4 linked regions of the Drosophila melanogaster genome follow. Changing the gene in region 1 together with any one later gene gives a genetic interaction. Each region holds a gene or a part of one and is shown in the gene's direction. Other genes may lie near its edges.

Evidence for each region.
Region 2: of Su(z)2 (region 1) and Dll, changing one enhances a phenotype caused by changing the other (phenotypic enhancement), as found in Drosophila melanogaster (one study listed by BioGRID).
Region 3: of Su(z)2 (region 1) and Marcal1, changing one suppresses a phenotype caused by changing the other (phenotypic suppression), as found in Drosophila melanogaster (one study listed by BioGRID).
Region 4: of Su(z)2 (region 1) and dlg1, changing one enhances a phenotype caused by changing the other (phenotypic enhancement), as found in Drosophila melanogaster (one study listed by BioGRID).

Annotation. Positions count from the first base shown.
Region 1 is NT_033778.4:12,994,945-13,000,221, forward strand, and holds the start of Su(z)2 (suppressor of zeste 2), read left to right. Parts: upstream 1-1,556; 5' UTR 1,557-1,867; intron 1,868-2,178; exon of another isoform or gene 2,179-2,268; intron 2,269-4,332; 5' UTR 4,333-4,391; coding exon 4,392-4,554; intron 4,555-4,854; coding exon 4,855-5,107; intron 5,108-5,199; coding exon 5,200-5,277. UniProt on the Drosophila melanogaster protein: Regulates expression of the homeotic selector genes by influencing higher-order chromatin structure through interaction with other proteins.
Region 2 is NT_033778.4:24,812,468-24,818,062, forward strand, and holds the start of Dll (Distal-less), read left to right. Parts: upstream 1-2,354; 5' UTR 2,355-2,969; coding exon 2,970-3,100; intron 3,101-5,126; coding exon 5,127-5,302; intron 5,303-5,595. UniProt on the Drosophila melanogaster protein: Transcription factor that plays a role in larval and adult appendage development. Specifies the identity of ventral appendages (including legs and antennae) and suppresses dorsal appendage development. Involved in patterning the distal-proximal limb axis.
Region 3 is NT_033779.5:4,953,859-4,959,513, forward strand, and holds Marcal1 (Marcal1), read left to right. Parts: upstream 1-1,650; 5' UTR 1,651-1,724; coding exon 1,725-2,491; intron 2,492-2,549; coding exon 2,550-3,040; intron 3,041-3,099; coding exon 3,100-3,250; intron 3,251-3,319; coding exon 3,320-3,484; intron 3,485-3,549; coding exon 3,550-3,832; intron 3,833-3,893; coding exon 3,894-4,088; intron 4,089-4,149; coding exon 4,150-4,365; 3' UTR 4,366-4,434; downstream 4,435-5,655. Other genes in the region: Jon25Bi (jonah 25Bi), read right to left, coding at 465-1,265; CG34124 (uncharacterized protein), read left to right, coding at 4,620-4,714, 4,772-4,934, 4,993-5,655. UniProt on the Drosophila melanogaster protein: ATP-dependent annealing helicase that catalyzes the rewinding of the stably unwound DNA.
Region 4 is NC_004354.4:11,373,683-11,379,153, forward strand, and holds the start of dlg1 (discs large 1), read left to right. Parts: upstream 1-2,080; 5' UTR 2,081-2,126; coding exon 2,127-3,036; intron 3,037-3,159; coding exon 3,160-3,291; intron 3,292-5,471. UniProt on the Drosophila melanogaster protein: During embryonic development, some isoforms are essential for proper neuronal differentiation and organization. Required for cell polarity; maintenance of apicobasal polarity.

The DNA of each region.
Region 1 (5,277 bases):
TTATATGTATGTCTTGTAAAATTCTACCACCAAAAAACTATTCTCTCTTGTTTTGTTCTTTGAAATGTTTTCGGTAAAATATAAAACGAAGGGTATTCTAACACGACATTTTAACAAATGAACTGAAATATAAGTATTTACCCAATTTAACAGGGTTGATAGTTTTATTAAATACAAAATCGGATATAGACACTAAATAGCCACTGCATCGTTAATGTCCTAGTGTATAATTTGTATTGTAAGGACCACATTCCTTGAATGATTGGAAAACTTCTCTGTGTAAGATAACTCTATCCTAACCTGGTTTTTAAAAGGTTTGCAATTATACATACATTTATCTGTTTTCGCAAGAACAAATTATGATTTCCCATAAGTGTATAGCATTTCTTCAAAATGTGCATGCAATTAATTCATCGACAATCGGATAAAAATGACGTATTTCGCGATGATTAAGCTGTCAGTGTTCTATAAAATGTGGTTTCCGCTCTTTATTACGTTAAAAAGTTATGGAAAATGTATTTAAAAAATGAATATCTTACAAATCGCCGCTATGTAGAGCTAATGTAATTTCCTACGTGCATATCTATTAATCGAGTGCCCATCGGTGTGCCTCCTCAAAATATAGGGTATATTTTATTTTTAAACTGTTTTTATTAATACTACATCACTCTTCTAGAGCAAACGTGGGCTTCAGACAGTCTTCCATGATAAATAGGAAGCAGCTCTTTGAAAGGATCTATTTCTTAGTCTGTATGCACAAAGGGGTATACTGCTTCTGCTGCTGCTTATACCCTGCTTCCAGTAACGCTCTTTTTGGCATACGGTAAAAACTGAAGTTAACATGTGCATATAGACCACATAACAATGCATTATAAAAAAAAAACCCAACACTTAGAGATTGCGTGAAAAATGCGGCGTCATTTGCGAAATTGACATTATCTTTTATCGCTAGAAGTTTTTAGATCCCCGCTCTAAGCTAAAGACGAGCATGAAATCACTTTGTGTAGAACGCGCCAAAAATTATTCAAGGACAATGCCAAAGTCCTTTGAAATGCAAATTTTCCATTCTGTTTTGCCGTTTTCCCCCTTTTCTGCATCGCAAATCAAGAGGCGGCAAATGATGCGAGAGAACGCACTTTGCATATGGCCAAAAACAGGTTCGTCGCGGATTTCAACAAAATGAAATGCCAACGGCAGACCAACAAAAAAAGGAGAAAAAATCTGCGAAAACGGGCATTTTTGTGTTAATTATAAACGCCAAGGCCAATACACGGGCACACTGCACGCACATACATACGAATATGTGCGTTAATCTCTCTCATTTGACAGTTGGATTCAATTAGAAACGACGCCACCCACACAGTTACAGAGTAACCTCAATTCGTGAGAGTGCGACGCAGACAGCCTGCTGATGCCGAGCGCCCCCCTCTTGTCATCTCGCTCGTGCAGCGATGTGATAGGTTAGTGGTGGTTCTCTCGTGTTTCACTCGTGCGGCTCTCTCATGCGAGCCGAGCGATTTTGGGCAGCGACAGCGCCAGCAGGTCTAATTTGAATCAGTCTGTGGAAACTTTTCGTGCCGTGCACTTTGTGAAACGGAACGGAGAATATATTTTTGTCGTGGCGCGAGCTCAAACGAGTGCGAGAGGGAGAGAGCGCGAGAGTGAGTGACAGAGAAGCAGCGAAAATCTGTGCGTGTACGAGAAATCGATAACAGCAGCTGAAGTGACAGAAGAAGAAGACGAAAAGGCAGTGGAGTAATCGAAAGCGTGTGTGTTCGGTGTCGGCGAATGGATTTGTTTTAATGGAAAATCCAAAGGGAATATGCTACAGAGGAAAACTCTTCAAGTAACAACGCAATTGCTTTGAGTACGTATGCGGGAAATAAAAACCAAAAAGGAAAGGGAACATGAAATTTTCCCTCTCACATGTATGGGTGAAAATTTTGTAAACACAAATGCCCTGGTGTGCGTGCGTGTTATTCTCGCCGCGTATTGGAATTTTCGTCGTGCGGCGAAAACGTCGACAGTCGGCGAAAATGCGCCCGCGCAAAAGTAGAAAGTTTGTTTGTCGTCTCTCTCGCCGCGGCGAATAGATACAATTTTGTGTGTGTCGTGCGCTCTCGCCTAACGGCGAATTGAGCGCGCAAGTGGCAGTTGGGATTTCTCGAATTGGATTTCAGTTGAACTCTGGACGCGGCCGCGGAAAAATCGTACCTCCAGAGTTGTTGCGATTTTACGTAGATTTTCGTCCATGTTTTCGTCTTTTTTGTGAGTTCATTTTTCGGACAGCCAGCTTGTTGCGTGTGTGTGTGTGTGAGCGATAGAGAGTGGGAGAGAAGTGGCGAGTGTGTGTGTGTTCAACCACCCTGCGGGCGCCCGTGCCGGTCGAACTGTTATTGTTGTTATTGGATTGCCGACACTTTCAAGCTGTGACCATGTGTGTGTGTGTGGGTTGGTGTGCAAGTGCGCGCCTTTTACGAAATTGCGGCGTATAAACAGAAAGCGGGCTAAGGAAAATCAAGAAAAGCGCTCGCCAGCGACGTCATCAATTTAAGAGCGTCATCAAACGTGGGATTGTCATTTTCCAGCTGAGTGGGCGTAGGCACACGAACGCCAACCACCCACTTTTCTGCCCAACTTTAGTTCAAGCCGCTCGGTCTTTTGTTTTTGTCTTGTTCGCTTTTTGTTTTGCTAGCACAGCCTCCGTTCTTCTGCCTCCCCTTTACCCAACTATGCCACCCTCCTCTTTGCGTGCCATTTTCGCGTGAGCGGCAAACGAAAATAATCGAAAGGCAACGGAGACAAAAAATGGGCGAAGCGATGCGACTTTTGGTTGCGCTATGCGATGGGCGGTTTAGATGGGGTGGCTGTGGATTAAAAGTGCTTAAATTTGAAGAATACTTAGTTAAATAATGAATAATGCAGTGCCAAATTCAGTCACAATTCAACAAACTTCAACTTGCCGACTGACTGAATTGAGGGGAATAAAGATGGCCTATTCCAGAAGAAATCATCATTTACACGCAATTTTGTTTCTAATTATGCAAATGCGGGAATCTTTAATGAAAATGAAGAAAAAGCATTCAGCTAAAAGAAATTGCTTTGCGCACAATTATTTATCATACTGATGATAATTAGATGGTTTTACTGTACTTTCTACAGTTGAACAGTTGTACCCCAAGTAGTCACTTTGTAATGCAGATCTTGTTGATCCGATTAAAGGCATTTCTTTTTATTATTTATGTTGGTAATTAATATAATGTCAAAAATATATAGAAATATATATGTAGTGAATATTGTATTGAGTTATACGCTTTTATGGAACTTTTTAAAAGGGGTTTTCGAATATTGACTTACATTTCAAAATCTTAGGTACACTAATTGTTACACACAAGTACTTCAACAATAGTCCCAAGAGTAACTTGAAGTTTTCCTTGGTTTCCTAGGAGCTATCCGAACAACCTGCTGATCCACTATGCCCTGAACTTTGCCCTGAACTCTCGGCTGCCTGCCATCAACTCGCAATCATCGTCCGGGCATCGCCATAATGATGAAAATTCAGTTTCCACTGGTGTGCAGGGCACAAAAGCGTAATTTTCGTAGTTTTATGGTAGATAAAGAGGGGTCTGAAGCGATGGGGCAGAAAAGGGGGGCGCCAAGCTAAAACTAGCTTCAAGTACACCGTCGAGTGCACATCGCTTTCTGTGCGCTTCTCTCGGCTCTTCTCGGCTTCTCTCGGTAGGTGCCCTCTGTGGCACGAAGGGCGTACGAAAGACCAAAGACCCCACCTCCCAGTGCCCGCAGACCCCCCTGCTTTCCACCCGCCCACAAAGTTGCTACTTTTGTGTTCTGTTTTGTTTTTTATTCTATTTTTTTATTCATATTTTTGTGAGCTGCAAGCACATTGTTCCGATTCATGGATATGGATGGCTGCCTTACTAGTCTAAAGTTTTCTGTATTGTGCGAGTGTGCTGACGTTGCCATATCTTTTGGGACAAGATACAGATACACGGTTGATATATCTGGCTCTGTGGCTTTTTTGTTGACGAGCGACAACCACAAATGTCGACAACAATGATGATGACGATGATGGTGATGGTGCTTGTTGATGGGATTGTGTGCTGGCTGTTGGTTCTCACAGTTGTGTGTCTTTTTCCTAGGTTTTACTTGGCCCCTGTTACCCCGTTTCCTTTGTGCCCTCGTCATAATTATGGAAAGACCCTAACAGTTGATTAGCCATCATCAGTTGTCACACTAGTGTCACTTGTTGAGCGAGCACATGCCAAACATGGATATGCCGAGTCCTAACCCCCATCCTTGTTCCTCTTCCAGGACCCCATTGAAAGAGGCTGCTAGGAGTAAGTATTGAGGCAGATAGAATAGGCAGAAAGATGCACCTGCAAAACACGCACAACACAATGGAATCAAACGCCGCTATGGATGCCGCATCCCCAGCTTCTCGGGATGTCCGGCAGTTTCATGATCTGATAACGTGCCGACTTTGTCGCGGTTATATGATCGATCCAACCACTGTGGATTACTGTTATCATACCTGTAAGTAGTCTTAGATTCCAAAGAGTACCTTTAATATACGCATAAAACCAATATCTTGTATTAATTGCATGTAATTTGATCATTATTTGTTTGATCACTTTTACCATTTTAAAGTTCATTTATAAAGTTAATTTAAGGTTGTCATGATTTACAATATTGACTGCCCAAGTTAGATCTTAAACTTTAAGATCATTACTAAACAATGTAATCACAGCTTCTGGTAGTTCTTAAGCTAAAATACACATTTTCCTTGATCATTAAACATATTGTTATTCGGTTTGATCTATCATTTCTCAACAGATTGCCGGAGTTGCATACTAAAGCACCTGCTGCGAGCGGTATATTGTCCGGAATGTAAAGCCAGCGGAGGCAAGGAAATCAATGAATTGAATCTGAAATCGGATGATACGTTGCGATCGCTAATCTATAAGCTAGTGCCGGGACTCTATCAAAGGGAGTGCAAGGAGCTGGCAGATTTCAAGGAGCAGCACGATTTGGTGGATGAACAAACGACTGATGAACCGGAGTTCTTCACAACCACGGAACTTATAAGGTAGGTTTCAGCTAAATGCTAACAATGCTTAAACGTGTAAAACTAATTTTACTAATAAACTTTTTGCTTTACTTTTCGTTTATATCAATTAGCTTATCCCTGGAATACCATCCCGCCATGCTGCATCAGTGTGGTCCTGGTGAGGTGCCTCCCACTATTTACCTGCAATG
Region 2 (5,595 bases), about 12 Mb from region 1:
TTGGCCGAAAATTAATCGTCTCATTTGTCCAAATGCCCGCTCTTGGCTTTAATTTGGGAATTAATGTTGTTTGGTAATAAAATCGATTTGGCTTCCGTATTTGCCTTGCTTCGGGAAGTGATTTCTCGGCCAAGTGAGATATCAGAATGGGAAAAGCTTAAGGGCATTCCTCTCTTCCTGTTCACTTATGACCTTCCATGCAATACAGTGGCATTATGTTAATCCCTGACATAATGGCTAAGAAAGGCCGAGAGGCCAGCGGACTAGGTCAATAGGAATGTTGGCGAGATAATTGTTCATTACCTTAATCTATTTGAATGTTCCTAATAAGAGGGGTTGTGGAAATTATTTTAATAAATCCATACTAATACAAAACTTCTGTTTGTTTGGATCGTTAAATTTCAAAACTGACGTTATAATATTTTGTAAGTAATCAGCACTAATGGTGTTCGGGTTTTGAATAATACTCTTCCAAGTCAACTTATAGATCAGATGTCCTATATCTACTGATTTATCGATGTCGCAAGCTCATCTGCGACAGTTGATAAATTAATTCGCCTGACTGATTGACTTGCAAACGTGTTCGCTTGACATATTTGCACGTGTCTCGTGTGGCTGTAATTTGATTTTGATCTATGGCCAATTAATCGCGGCCCAAGAGGGGTACCCGTATTACCATTGGCCTAGTCAAGCACAAACAGCGCAGCCCAGGCGCCTCACTGGGAAAAGGAACAGTAGCTGCAGTGCAGTGGCTAGCCCGGGCTAATCATAATTTGCATTTAATAAATATTTCATTAAGTAATTGCAACAATTACGTGCATTTGCAGTGCTACCTTAAATTAGTGCAGCGCAGCCGACCAGGTCATAACTCGGAACGGCGGGCTCCACAGCCGATCCGATCCGATCCAATCCGGACGAGGGGATTAGCATTTCAGTCGGATCAGGCGCTCAATTACCGCTGGATGCTCGATTTATATTTACTTTTATAAACAAACTTAATTCGATTTTTGTGGCACTCTGGTTCTGGTTAATAGCGCCGCTCCGACTCATGCATATGCATATTTTCCCACTTTCAGCGGAAATCCTTCTCAGGTGACAACTGCCTGCTGTTGGGAGAGGGGAAAGGGGTGGAATGGAGACCGCTTTGCCGCCGCTTCAACTGCCAGTTAGGCTAGGCGGACAAAGGTGGAAATTCCGCTGTTCTCTCCGCTCGGTGACTTTGTCTTGTGAATGAAAAAGTCCGCTCGAGCAAACGGTCCGTGTCGCTTGGCCCTAGCCACAAAGCGACATTATGTGGCCGAAAGGACGCCATTTTGAATTGGGCCTACTCGAGCTCTCTGCCCTCTCTCGAAACGCTCAAGGGGGCGTGGCGAGGGAGTTTCTGCTCTCAGCAGGGGGCGTGCTGGGTGCGCAGGTAGTATGTGTGTGTACGAGTGCGGCTGCGAGGGTGTGTGTGTGTGTGTTTGACAGGTGAGCAGGTTGGCCCGATAGACTGGTTTGTCGCTGCCAAAGGCGGCCACTAGGTGGCGCCACAAGTACCAACTCCAAGGAGGCTTTAAGACTCCCTAGAAAGGATTTTCAAATTAAAGGTTCCATTAGAAAATGATAGCAGACCTGTCATATATACCACGCTATGTTGTTTGTGTGCGTAGCGTTTTTTCCTTACAAGCAAGCCCACCGATTGTAAAACGTAAACAAATCATTAAGTTAATTCGTCTGTTGTCCGCAACTGTTGATTACCCGTGGAAATGCGTGTGCCACAGTTTCGATTGATCCGAAAATAAGACCCGAAAGGAGCAGCGGCTAAATAAGAAGACAAATTATAGGTTCAACAATCAATTTAATAATTGAGACCTTTGCATTTAATCAACATTATTTAAAACGTCAAAATATTTGCACTTTCCACGGGCAGTTCCCCCTGGAATTTGCATATACACGCCGTAAGTTCCCCAAATCCGTGGGGACGCGGGGCGACAGGCCACGCCTCAATCTCGATGCGGGCCCTAGACCTAGACAAAGTTGACGAGTTGAGCGGCACAAAAACGGGGTCCCAGAGCCCAGCCCCACCCCCGTGCACCCGGAACGGGGAAATTTATAGTATTGGTGCGGTTTCTGCACCACCATACAGAGACACCACCGAGAAAACCGGTTGCAAACCACCCGATTGGCGACGCTCGGCGAGAGTCACTGCCAGCGGCTTGGGCCTCAGCAGCCGTCCCGCTCCGACGCACGGCGATGGATGACATCTGCGCCGCTCGCACACCACTGCTACAGAGCGGCAAAGCGGCACGGCCGCAAAGCGACAGCGCAGCGAGTCGAAGTCTCGCGCAACCGCGCCGCGAAAACCTCACCTAGTCGTATACGCACTTTGTTCGTGTGCAGTCGTCGCCGCTGTTCTCGCCGTTGAATTGCCGTCGTCGATCCGTCGTAGCGTTTTGCGCCTTGCGTTTCTGCGTCGAGCTAAGTGATCCGTCGCGGACTATAAAGTGATTTGTAGTGATCTGATCTGATCTGATTTGATATGAATTGATTTGATTGATTCGCAAAACGGAGTTGAAAATCGTGAAAATCTACAAAGAATATGCACAGCCAGAAATCGAAGTGATACAAGAAAGCAATTTCGAGTGAGTTGAGTTGCTAACAAGTTGAGTGTCAGTGCTGAGAAAAGTGCCTCCTCGCCATCTGAAAGGATTTACGCGCTCAACAGTTCCGCCAAATCAAGTCGCCGAACTGAACTGAAGCCAAGACATTGTGTCCTACAAAAACCTTAGATACGCAAGCCACACACTCCTACTGTGCAAGTATAGCTGATCATTGCCATCGGATCTCTGAGAACTTCCTTCCCGCGCGCATCCCCCTGAACAGCCGTCAAAATTCTTGATAAAGTGGCCTCAATAGGCGCCAACACGCTCAATTTCACGGACCTAGGGAGCCCCTACGAGGGGCCTCCCAGCACCCCCCAGTCGGGCATGGACGCCCCCGACGCCCCGCACACGCCCAAGTACATGGACGGCGGGAACACGGCGGCCAGCGTCACGCCCGGCATTAACATCCCGGGAAAGTCCGCCTTCGTGGAGCTGCAGCAGCACGCCGCCGCCGGGTGAGTGTCCCCAAGATCAGTGGAGTGGAGTCACCGGGAGGATTGCAGAAAGTGTTTCGGCGAAAAGACTCGATCCCCTCCAGACTTCAGCCCTGCCAAAACCAAACCTATCGGAACTCAATCTCAATCTGTGCGGAGCAGTTGACACACCCGAGAAAAAAGGAGTTTGTGGCCAGGGCGTTCCCAAAACTCGAATATGAATCTTTTTAATGAATCTAAAGAGCGCTATACGTACCATAAAACCATTTGGTCTTTAAAATCATTTCATTCATTTCAAGGGAAAAAGTTAGTTGGCATAGGACTACAAGCTGCATAATTGCATAAATAGATAATATAGTACATTGACATTACAATAAACAAATTCAATTTTTAATAATAAATAACAGTTGGTAAAAGCAAGCAGTTAAATAAAGTCAGGTTAACTCAAGAGTATATTGTCTAAGTAGTTCATATAACTTTTTAGGGTCTTAATTACTGATTACATTACAATAGCCAATAGTCTTATTTCGATCGATACATAAATTTTACTATTAAAAAACTTGTATAATTATTAGTTGTCTTAAAAAATGAAAGCAACCAATTGTAGATTTATGAATTCGTCAATGTAATCCAAAGTTAAAAATTATTTTGACTTCCATAAAAATGTACTTCTAAAGTAACAAATGTAGTATAAATTCGAAATCACAATTTTAAATTTCAATTTGCCAATTCGCCATTTAGCCTTCTCTAGGCCCTCAGCCAAATCGACTAAGACTGAATCGATGAAAGTTGCCGTCAGCTTTCCATCTTTATGATACTATTTTCGGGATCGATTTCGCGTTGGGGTCTCGCTATACTATTAGTTTTGATTAAGAAAATCACTTCAGCTGCACTTTCCGGCTTACAGTTCATGCTGGTGCCTGGCTGGCCGGCAGCGGAAGCCAAAAATAAATTCAATTAAGTGTAGTTTACTCCCGGTCCGTGTTCTAAATAAGCGTCTGATCCGGAGGGTTCTGTTCCTATCCAACAACACGTTCCTCATGGGGTAGCAATAAGTCGGGCTCGGTGGTCTGTTTACTGTTACCGCTCACTCGGCGAACTGTTTGCAGCCGCAAATTGTTTTCCCAACGCACGATTCGATTTTTCATTATACATATTTTATTGCATTCTTGGTTTTGAGCCTTGCGGTTTCCACTGCTCTGTCATTTGTGCGTGTTGGGCTCTTGGGCTGGGACGGGACTTGGAATGCTTGGCTGCGCCGACCAGCCCTCGGGAGTTGTTCCTGGCCACGACTTTTCTCCGTCCCCGGAGTGGCTGCCATGTTGTTCGCTGTTCGCTGTCCGCTGTCCGTTGTCCGTTCTCCGTTGTCCGTTGGCCGCTGTCCGTTGCGGTTTCTGCTGCTTTCGGCCCGCTTCCGTTTCCGTGTTTGAGGGGCCAGGAGAGCATTGAATATTTCATGCAGTTCGCTCGGAACATAATGCATGGGAACTTGCTCAACTGTTTCGCCCGCAAAGTGTTAACAAAATATTTACCGCGAGCGAGCGGGACTGCAAACGGAACTGCGGACCAAACCGAAACTAAAACACAGCGACTCTGACACTCGTATTGATTTTTCTTTGATATATTAAGCCGCATCCAGTTCGGGCTTTGGATAGGTTTTGGTTTTGTTTTTGGTTTCGGTTCTGGTTTTTGTAAATGAAGTCATGGCAAAAATTTCCTTCCTCTCCGCCAGCCTAATTTTTTGTTGTGAGAGAAAAAGTTTTGGTTTCGACGCTTCTTGCATTAAACATGAAACATTTTGGGCCCACTTTTAGATATTTTCCCGACCGAACGCTCGTCCTATGCTCGGCGACGTTTGAATTTAATAGTGAATAGTGAAAAGTGTAGACAAAACACGCAAGTAGGAAAAGTTTTGTCCCCGGCACGATTCATTCACATTCACAGCCGGTGTACGCCACTTCCATTACTTCCACTACTTCTTCCACAACTGCCACAGCTATATTACAGCCCCGTATTGATTATTTTCCGTGCATTTGCGGCATTCCAGGTACGGCGGCATCCGGAGCACCTATCAGCATTTCGGACCGCAGGGCGGCCAGGATTCCGGCTTCCCCAGTCCGCGCAGCGCCCTCGGCTACCCGTTCCCGCCAATGCACCAGAACTCCTACTCCGGCTACCATCTGGGCAGCTACGCCCCGCCCTGCGCCAGTCCACCGAAGGATGGTAAGTACTGCTCCTCCTTATCCGATCAGTCTCAGGCCCAATCCCAGTCCCAATCCCATACCTACTCTCCCAGAGATCCGGGTCTTTTGTTGAGAAAGAGATCTTGAAAAGATCTCGCTCGTTGCTTCCCTGTCTATTTTTTGGCGACACTTCAACTCGAGAGCTCAACGCCGTCGAGAGCCATTGTGGTCGCCTTCTGCGGGCTTTGTTTGCTCGTTCACTTCAAGTTCGACTCGTCTCAATTAGGCTGCCTTCACTGTCCTCTTGCTACTGCGCTGCTTTTCACTTTTATC
Region 3 (5,655 bases), on another chromosome or scaffold:
GTAAAAAGTGAAATATTTTAAAGACGAAAGTTGTATTATTTTTTAGAAATATATTTCATATATTTAATAAATATATCACTTCGCTTTTGTGATTTGTCAGTATAATAATCCTTTGGAATATATAATCTTTTGGTAAATATATATATTATTTCATTATCTGATTATTGACTAGTATAGACCACAGTTGCTAGTATTCCTACTTATGTCTATCATGGCTACATATATAGTGTTTAATCATGTTTTCCAGATAACAAGTGTTCGATTGCCAAGAAACCATCCCATTTCTTAGCCATTCATGGCTTCTTATCTATAAGACGTTTATTATAGATTCGGATTCTGCATGACTAGACTTTTGAAACTTAAAAATATCCATGTGATTTTTTAAATGTAATAAAACCAGAAACATAAAGGCGTCAAATTAATTGTTATGCATTTCGTTTATTTAAAAATAAAGATAATCAAGCTTAGTAGTAAGCAACGCCGGAGTTGTCGCGGATCCAGTCCAGCTGGTTGGTAACACGGGTGAATCCGGAGGGCAGGCCAGCGGTGCAACCGTTGCCGGAAACCCAGGAGGTGACACCCACCAGGCGGCCACCGTCGTGGAGAACCAGGGGGCCACCGGAGTCACCGGAGCAGGTGGACTTTCCGCCGGAGGTGGACACACAGAGGATGCCATCGGGCTGGGTGCCGTAGGTGCGGGAGCATTCCGAGTTGCTAATGATCTGCAGGTCGACGCACTCCATCCAATCGGGCTGGGATCCGGCGGTGGTCAGTCCCCAACCGCAGGCGACGGCCCAATAGTTGTCGTACATGTTGTAGCGATCGTTGAAGCTGGGCAGCTCCACCTTGTTAACCATGTGCCAGAAGTCCACGTGGGGGGTGCGGATCAAGGCGATGTCGTTGCCGTTCTGGTTGGGCCAGTTGTGGTTCTGGATGAAGTCGCCGCTGCCGACGGTGTGGGTGAACTGGGCGTTGGTGCGCCAGGTGGCTCCGTAGTAGATGGTCACCTGGGAGGCGCCGTTGGTGCAGTGAGCAGCAGTCAGGACCCAATCGTGGGCGATGATAGAACCACCGCACCACCAGCCGCCGTTGCCGCTGAAGCCCAGACCCACGGTGTAGGGAGCCTTGCCCTCGTAGGCTGGATATCCGTTCACAATGCGGCCATTGATCTTGGTGTCCTTGGGCAGGTCCTTGGGATGAACCTGCTGGACAGTCTCGGCGGAGACAGCGGCCAAAGCCAGAGCCAGTACAACGAACACTTTCATGGTGATTGGATCAATCGTGGTCTGCGCCAGACTTCCATCCGTTTTTATTGCGCCCCTTATCGCTGTCTGGAGTAGCCCCCACTCGGCGTTATCCTATCTCTAAGAAATTCGCCCTCTGATACCAATGGAAATTAATTGATAGCACGTCTAAGAACATCTTGATAGGCAAAAAAAATAATAACTCGCTTTTAGGAAAAATTCTAAGCTGATTATCTTCGCTTACAACCGACGTAGGCAATATAAGAAAACAGAAATGATTTTAATTTAATTTAAGGACTAAATAATTTATACATAATATATACATAATAATGTATACATAGAGTATGTAAAATGTAAAAATAATTTAAAATAGGCGCCCAATGTAAGATGTAAGGATTGAAAAATGGCTCACCTGGTCACACAGAGCCATGCATTTATTGTTTATATATTCCGCCAAATTTTATCAATTGATGTCGCAGCATGTCCACTTGCAGTTCATCCGAGATAGCGGAGAAGAAGCGCATTGCGCTGGCCAAATTGCAGGCCAAGAAATCCCAGCTGCTGGCCAGCGCACCCGCAACCAATGGAAAATCAACAACGTCTGCAACAGGTGCGACGCAACATGCGAATAATGGAAAATCAAATCCCAATCAACCGCAGGCCAAATCCCCATTGAATTTCTACCGATCACCGACGGGGGAGCAGAAGAAGATCAACAGGAGCGGTCCCACGCCCGGTGACAACAAGAGCTCATCCTTTCTGAACGCTCTGAAAGCAATCAAACAGACATCCAACCGGGAATTGTCCCGCGGAGCAGCACATCCTTACCAGCGGCCAAATGGAGGGAACGAAAGAAACAAGCCCACTCTTTCACTGAGTTCGGATAAGGAGAAACCGGTGGCTGTGCTACTCGGAAACTCCATCACGTGTAATCTCTACTTGATCAGCACACATCGGTTTGCTGCCCAAACCTCAGGATATCACGAACAGCTCGTGACCGTGTTCAAGAACATGCCCACCAAGTGCTACGATGGCCAAACCCGTATCTGGAGTTTCGATCTGTCGGACTACCAATCCCTGAAAACTCATGCAGCGGATCTAAAGCCATATGTTCACATGAATGGCATTCCGAAGAAGGTGCTGGATCTCTGCGGCCAGCCGCCAGTAGTTCCGGAAAGAAGTGTTTTAGCTTCCATAGAACCGAAGCTGGCGGACCAGCTAATGCCCTTCCAACAGGATGGGGTATGGTAAGCATTGCTTGTATGCTATGTACTTCCAAAAGCGCTAAATTTATCATATGTTTAGCTTTGCCATAGCCCAAAAGGGACGCATTATGATCTGTGATGAAATGGGCCTGGGCAAAACCTATCAGGCCTTGGCCGTAGCCGACTATTTCAAGGATGATTGGCCCTTGCTTGTCTGCACCACCGCTTCTACGAGAGACAGTTGGGCGAAACACATAATGGATCTACTGCCGAAGGTGCCCATCCACTATGTCCAGGTGCTGAACAACAATCAGCTATATGTGGGTGAGGCCAAGGTGCTAATCACCAGCTACAATATGATGGAGCGACACGAAGATAAGCTGATGCAGCGGAAGTTTGGTTTCATCATCTTCGACGAGTCGCACACGCTGAAGAACAGCAAGGCCAAGTGCACGACAACGGCCAAAAGACTCACGGATCAGGCGAAGCGGGTGGTTTTGCTATCCGGCACACCGGCTCTCTCCCGGCCATTGGAACTTTTTACGCAACTGCAAATGATTGATGGCAAATTCATGAATTTCATGGAGTTCAGTATGTCAAGAATGTCTGTTTACCTTAGAACGCGCTTATATCGATTAACACATTCACAGCTACTCGTTATTGTGATGGAAAGCAGTCAACTTTTGGTTGGGATGCCAATGGTCAATCGAATTTGGAGGAACTGAAGGTCATACTTCACCTTAAATATATGCTGAGGCGAACGAAAGTGGAGGTGCTGCCTCAACTCGCTGAGAAGAACCGGTGGGTTGTTCACATTGTTGTATATCTATAATATATTTTCTAACATTTCGAACATTCTTCCATCCGCAGTGAGACTGTCGTCCTGGATCCCGCCCTAGTGTGGACCAATGCGGAGACCAAGGAAACCTTGGATGCGTTTAACAAAGAGCTTAAAACCGCTAAAGGCAGGGCAACGGAAGAGATCTTACTCCGTTTCTATGCACGCACTGCCGAAGTGAAAACTCGAGCGGTCTGGTAATAAAAAAAATCATTAAAACCATATAAACCATCTGAAGTTAATGTATTATCCTGCATTATAGCGCCTACCTAAAAACCTTAGTTAAGGAGCAGAAAAAGTTCATTATCTTTGCCCACCATCGTGTCATGATGGACGCCATTAGCGACTTCCTCAGTGGATTGAAAGTACACTACATACGTATTGATGGACAAACGCGTAGCGATCACAGGTCGGATTCTGTGGACACGTTCCAAAAGAAGAGCAGTTGTAAGGTGGCCCTGCTCTCCCTAAAAGCCTGCAATTCAGGAATAACGCTAACTGCAGCTGAGATCATAGTGTTCGCTGAACTGGACTGGAATCCTAGCGTAAGCTTCGCTTATATGTTAACTTGGAGAACGCTTAAATTTAGTTTTATTTTATGTGCAGACTCTTGCCCAGGCGGAGAGCCGTGCCCATCGCATTGGTCAGACAAAACCGGTGATTTGTCGCTATCTGATTGCTCACAATACGGCAGACGATATAATCTGGAACATGCTGAAAAATAAGCAAGAGGTGCTTAGTAAAGTGGGCATCTTTGCCGAAAATCTTCAGAAAGCAACACACACAGCAGCACCCACTTCAGTAAGATACATTTTGAATACTTTGAAAAATGTATTTTTCGCTAACTCAACTTTTTTTTTAGTCCCACAAGATCGAGGAGTACTTCTCGCCCTCCACGTCCACCTCCCTTGAACCGGAAAGGAATAGCATAAAACAATATTTTTCAACTATTCCAGCTAAAGAGCCGCCTGAGCAAAATAATAATACAGAAATGACCAAAGTAAACAAGGCTGAGTCGGATATCGCGGCGTTCTTTAACGATGATGATGATGAGGCTTTTTTGGAATTAGATATTTAGATTGTGTAATGGAATTTAATCCTAGAATGTTTATTGAGTTAATCGTAATAAATTGTATTTGAGAATGTTATAGCATTGAATGAAACTTGTTGAACGCACTTCTGCGCATGCTCCACGTTTGCAGAACTCTTTTCAGATAGCCGGTTTCATGTGACCTGGCAACAGGCAAACAAACACTCAAGTAAACCTTTTCACTTGTATCAAATAAATAAATACACAGCAAGTTAAGTTTTGTACAATAATAGCTAAATAATATGGATACTACGCAGGAATCTGATCTGCTGGGCGAAGAGGAGGAGTTGGAGAATGAGAACGACGTATCCTTTCCGCGTGATATCGTCAGTGTAGAGTGAGTACGGAATTGGAAGTTGATAACTTTTTCTTGATTGGAAAACTTCTGCTGCAGACACTCCTTTGGTTACGATTGTAAGAAGCTGTTTAATTTGGTCCTTGTGGATTCAGACACGCTGGTTTTTGCCTCTGGAAACTTCCTCAACTACTTTAGCATTTCGCGCCAGGAGATTTCCTTTCAGGAAACGGTCTACGGCTGCGGAGTGGGCTTTATAACGGTGAGCTTTTTAGTACCTTTGAGTACCTTTGTATGATCTAATGGTACTCCATTGCCAGAAAAACGAGCATCCTGACTACACCAACCTCTTTACGGTGGGCGAGAACGGAGCTCGTCCCACTGTCTTTATCTACGAGTATCCATCGCTTAATGTCCGTGTTAAGCTACTGAATGCAGCTCAGAATTGTTTTACGGCGGGCTCCTACAACAAGACGGGGGAATTGTTCGCCTCGCAGGCTGGCTATCCGGATTTCATCATAACTATCTGGCGTTGGGAGAACGCTGAGGTTGTCCTGCGTGCCAAGTCCTTTCAGAGCGACATTCTGTTCGTGCACTTTTCGGAGCACAATCCCATCCTGCTCTGCTCTTCCGGGCTTAGCCACATCAAGTTCTGGAAGATGGCCAACACCTTTACCGGCCTGAAGCTGAAAGGAGATCTGGGTCGCTTTGGCAAGACGGACTTCAGCGATATCTATGCCATGTACATGCTGCAGGATGAGAATGTGATCTCTGGCAGCGATTGGGGCAACATGCTGCTCTGGCAGGCGGGGCTCATAAAGTTCGAGATCTGCCGGAAGGGTCGAAAACCGTGCCACACCAAACCGATTACGAGGATAACCATGAAGAACGGTGAGGTGACGACGGTGGGCATGGACGGTTATGTGCGCGTTTGGTACTGGGAAACGGTCGACTTGGCCGATCCGCCAGAGGACGATTTGTTT
Region 4 (5,471 bases), on another chromosome or scaffold:
CTGCAATTTTCGTAATTTTTGTTTTTTTTTTTTTTGTTTTTATGATTATACAACAAAATGGGTGCCGTTGAGAAAAAATCCAAAGGAGCCGTGTTCCTCAAACCTTCTCCACTTGTTTTTCTTTCGACTTTCAGATGGTGAATGCAATATAGAATCAAATCAAGTGAACGCGAAGTAAGCAAATAAACGATCTGAGTTTTTTTTTGTGTTGGTGTTGTTGTGTTGTGACGAGGAAAGTACGACATTTCGATGATAGTCGCATTGCAATATAAAGTGCAACATAAATGCTATAGAACCGAATGTGAATGTGAGGAGCCATTGAGCTGTGAAATGTGAAAATCGCAAAGAAATCGAGAGAAAACGCACACGTCAATGTAACCACAAAGCTGCCCCAAGAAAACGAAAAGTAAAATATATAAAGAAATTAAAAAATAAACTAGCAAACTGAAAGCGCAAAATTAAAAAAAAAACAACAAATCTCGAACTTTGTTCGAAAGCCAAAGTATCTAACAAAACAATATTTGTACATAAAACACCATCGAATAGTATATATATATATATACATATATATCAGATATATATACAGATGTGCTGGCGAAACTAAAAGGAGGAGAACTCAAGGAAAAGCCAAAGCGATTTTTCCGCACATTTCCACTCGAAAGCGACTCCAGTAAATTCTCAAAATTGCGACCCACGCTTTTCCCAGTTCGGCGGCGTTGAACCACAATCAAAGCTGCTGCACCACCGCCATTTCCGCTGCCATTTCCACCAGCACCACCATAAATAGTAGCAGAAACACCGCTCACAGAATGCCAGTGAAAAAGCAAGGTAAGCGAAAAATTGCACTTTTATTCACTGCCCACCTTTCCCACCTTTCCCTCCTTCTTCTTCTTTTTTTATTTTCTGTTCTACATATCTGTCTTTGGCATTACGTGGAAATCCATTCAATTGAATGGACCTTATGAATGGTGGACAGTGAAAACTGTTTGCCAGTTTTCAGCAATTGAAAAAGTAGTTTAAAACTTAACACAATGGTTTAAGATCACATTTTACATAATTCTATGCATAACAAATTTAGAAAAATAACCTTAACTATTGTGAAATAAAGTTAGAACCTATTAAAAAAGCTATGTCTATGCAAAACTGCATTGATTTGCTGGTGAAAGTTTTAAGCACCATATAGTATATAGAAAGTTGGCATTAGTTTTTCAATTGTAATTTTAGTAGATCATTTAACTTTTACGTGCTGCGCAAAGTTAGCCAGCAAAGCTGCTTCCAATTACACACGAGATGGCACTTTTGGCCAAACAAACAATGTATCCAACTGTGCATTGGAAGCTATGCAACAAAAAAAAAAAAAAAAAATACATAAAAAACCAGCTAAATTAATGCAGACAAAGAATTTTATTTGATTATGTCACATACAAATCATATTTGGGCAACTCAAATGGCCAACAGAAGAGATGAAATGAAATGGTGCGGAAGGGGGAAGGGGGAGGGGGAAAGAGAGGAGCCGCAGCAGACGGAAAATGGGAAAACCGGGGAAAAGCGCTGCCAGCAGCCTCGCAAATGGTCAGTGAAGGTCAACGTCGGCGTTTGACGCGTGCTGAGGACATCAAACTGCGGCCACAGATACAATGTTCATTTAGATACGAGTATGTATAGTTTGGTTTGTGTGCTCTGTATGTGTGTGTGTGTGCGTGTGTTTTGGGACCATAATGCGACTCGATTATAATAATAAATTATGTGTTTAATTTTTTGGCAAACGCGGCACGAATGACAAGCCAGCGACGGTATGGCACTTGACCCCTGACCTCTTCGCATGGGGACATCAAACTATGCGCAGCAACACACAACTTCGTTGCTATTCAGATTTTCAAGTTAAAGCATTTAGGATGGGGAATTTTAGGCACACACCCTTCATGGAAACAAAAAAACAAAAAAAAAAAAGCGTTAATAACTGGCGTCCGACAAGCGGTGAAAAATGTTTAAAAAGCGTCAATCTTTATTGATTTATCGGCGGTAGCAGCCACCAAACTATAGAACCATAATAGAGCTCAAAAGTCTAGCCAGTTGAGTGCGGCACTTGGGCGCGAAGAGAGGTGTCTTCTTGGCTGGTCCTGGTAATGGATTCGGATACGGACTCGGAGCGGGAGAAGAGCAGCGATCCCAACGAGGGACTGCTCAGTAGCGATGACAAGACATTCCACGACGATGATGAACCGGCGGAGGATTCCTCTCCGGCGGACGATGAGGAGGAGCCCGAGGAGGAGGAGTGCCTGCTGCCGCAGAAGAAGGCACAGATTCGCTGCGACCAAGACCAGCCACCTTTGGTGGTCTTGGTACAGCCGTCGGCGGAAGCCATAGAAGTGCGCCAAGAAATCGATGATACCAATCCGGTGGCAGTAGCTGCCAAAGCTAGCGATATGGATGGGGATTCGCAACTGGAGGTGATGGAACACCAAATGGAGACCGTAACCGAACCGGATCCCGAGCCTCCGAAGTGTCCAACATCCCTGCGCGATAGTGTCCGCGAGTCCGTTGAATGCTTCTATTCCGCCCAGGATCTTCTCGAGTACGGACACATGCTGTCCTCCACTTCGATGGTCCGAACACCGGATGTGGAGTCTGGCTACTTTGAGAAGTCCGAGAGCGATGCTTCGCGCGACGAGTGGGAGGGTCCGTCGTCGTCATCCTCGGGCGCAGCCCGTTGTCGCCTTCTCTCCGGCATTTCCGGACTCTCCGTCTCTTCGTCGAGTCGCCACAGTGCCGAGGGTTTGCGCATGGAACTGAGCCGATTTCGCACCATGATCGAGACTCTCGAGCGGGAAAGTCTCGAGAAATCGCAATCGGAGCTGCAGTTGAAGGCCAAGAGCAAGGCGAAGCCAAAGCCCAAGCAGAGATCCCACGTACAGGATGCGGCTGGGGAAAGTGGTTCGGAACAGGGTTCCGAGAGGGGCTTCTGGTCAACGATCTTCGGCCAGGCGGGTCTGGCGATCAGTCAGGATGAGGAGGAGCGCATTGCGGACATACAGAGTAGGCACTAATCCAGTGGGGAAAAATGGGCAGGCAGAATCCCTTGGTCTTTTGGGTTGATTTCATAATAAAACAATCGAAGATCATTTGTACTAACCATATTCTTTTCTCTATATATTTCAGAAGCTCATCGGGCTCTCGAGCTGCTCGAGGACTACCACGCGAGACTTTCGGAGCCGCAGGATCGGGCGCTGCGTATTGCAATCGAACGCGTTATACGCATATTTAAATCTCGCTTGTTTCAAGCGCTGTTAGGTGAGTAATCGATAATGTATCGATTAAATCGATGAAAATATCCTATATGTATATCTTAGACGCTATTCGCGTCGCTCGTAAGTTTTTGCCTTTAAAAATATCTAAATAATTGCCGCTAGATAAGTGCATTTTTGTGAAATACTTTATTATATAGGTCAGTGTGCTAAATAAGTTTTTCACAAGTTCGTTATAAGCAAGAGCCTTAACCAAGCTCATCATCATCGTCTATTGATTCTGAAACTTTAAACGCAAACAAAGTTGCGAACTTTGTGCCAAGATTGTTAGAAAGTAGTTGATGAGCCGGAAAGAAAGATCCTTGAAAAGTAGTTCTTATCTGTGCAGTTGTCTATCGTCCATTGCCTATCGCCTATCGATTTTCTTGTCCCTCCCCTCGCGTTGCAAATTATTTTCACTTGACAAGCAAGCAGTGAGCACAAAGTAGCAACAAAGGGAATTGCAGCAACAGCGACAGCAAAACGATAATATTGCATAGGATTTGGGTCAAATAGACCAAGCAGCGCAGCGCAATGGAAACAGCAAGCGTCCCATAGTAATGCGGCTAATTCAGCTTGTTTTTTTTTTCTTTACCGACTCTGGTTACTCAAAAGGGTCGATAGACGGCCTGATTAGTGCTCCAGTTGCATCATGGAGTGCATTTTGGTGGCATATGGCGAAGGAGCCATTGATTTTCACTAGCAACTTGTTGGTTTCCCTCATATTACCTATAGTCTCAAGCTTAAGATGAACCTAATTATCACTATAACTAAATACTTTCCTATTAAGAAAAGTTAATTTCCCTGCCATTGTTGCCTTATCATTGTATATTTAAGCAGTTTTTTAAGCCGTTCCCATTTATTGAGACATTTTTGCCCAAGATTTGACAGCTTGTTTTTCTCATTTGACAGTTTTGTCTGGATTAGCTCTTAGCTACTTTTGGATTTTTGGCAGCACTGTTTGCAGTACACTTTTTTTTTTGCTCGCCCATCTTTTCTTTTTTTCAGCAACGTATCCGCCTCTCATCTCTCTCTGTCCATATGTCCATCCATTTCGAGACGGGCGGTTGGTTTGCAGTTGTCTGTTTTGTGGGTCTTGCCTGTTGTATAATTTGCAAAAGTTCTGCTCTACCGCCGTGCTCCATCTCATTCTAGTCCCCTATGGCTCTCTCCCGCTCGCTCCGCGTCTCGCTCTGTGACCCCGTCCCTTTCTATTGGACCCCTGGGTGCAAATTGTGTTGCCCGCTGTCAGTGGCAGTTGCATAATCCTTTTCGTTTCGTTTCGCTTGGGTCCTCTCCCCCTACCTCTTTCCATTCTTCCCATTGTTTTGGTTCTTCTTGTCCCTATTCCTCTTGTTCGGCGTATCCCGCTGGTGCTTCCTCTTCTCCCGTTATCGTTACAGTTTCAGTGGCTGCGCTTGGCGTGTCAGAAATGTTAAACGGCTAACAAGCACACACAAACTCAAATGCAAACAAGCCAAACACGTGACACGTTAGAAAACAGGAGCTTTTGTATGGCCAAACACAAGGGTGGACCTTAACTTAAAAACTCGCAGGGTCGCACTTCGACAGAACATGATCAGTCACGTCGCTCTGCTAGTTTAGAAGGAAAGCTAAACTAAATTGAAGAAGAGAGTTTTTAAACACGATGCCAGTACTTGATTTTTCTTATGATAGATATGGGTCACATGTATTACGATAAAAAGAGTTCACAGCCTTGAAATCAACCCACAGTTAAGGTCCACCCAAGGGAATTTGAGGTGGTGTATGCATGTGTGTGCGTGTGAAATAATTAACAAGGTATTAGCCGCATCCCAAACACCCGAAACGTATGTGTGTGTGTGTGTGTTTTGGGTATAGTATCAAACTTGAGGTTAGATTCCAGTCTCTTTCCGTCTCTTTCCCGCTTTTGTTGAACATATTTGCATTGAATCTGTTATGCTGTAATAACACTGAAAACATTTCAACTGCGTTTGAAAGCACTACTACTGTGCAACCGAATAACACTGCGTATGAGTAATATCGTTGGAAAAACTATGTTTGGGCATCAGAGTTTGATTTTTTTTTGCCATAGTTTTTGGCTTGGTTCTCAGTGTTGCACAGGCACCACAATTGACACTCAAGTTGAAGCGAAGGATAGAGATAAGGATGCGCCAGGGGTTGTGTGCGGGACGGGGGGGGGCAAAA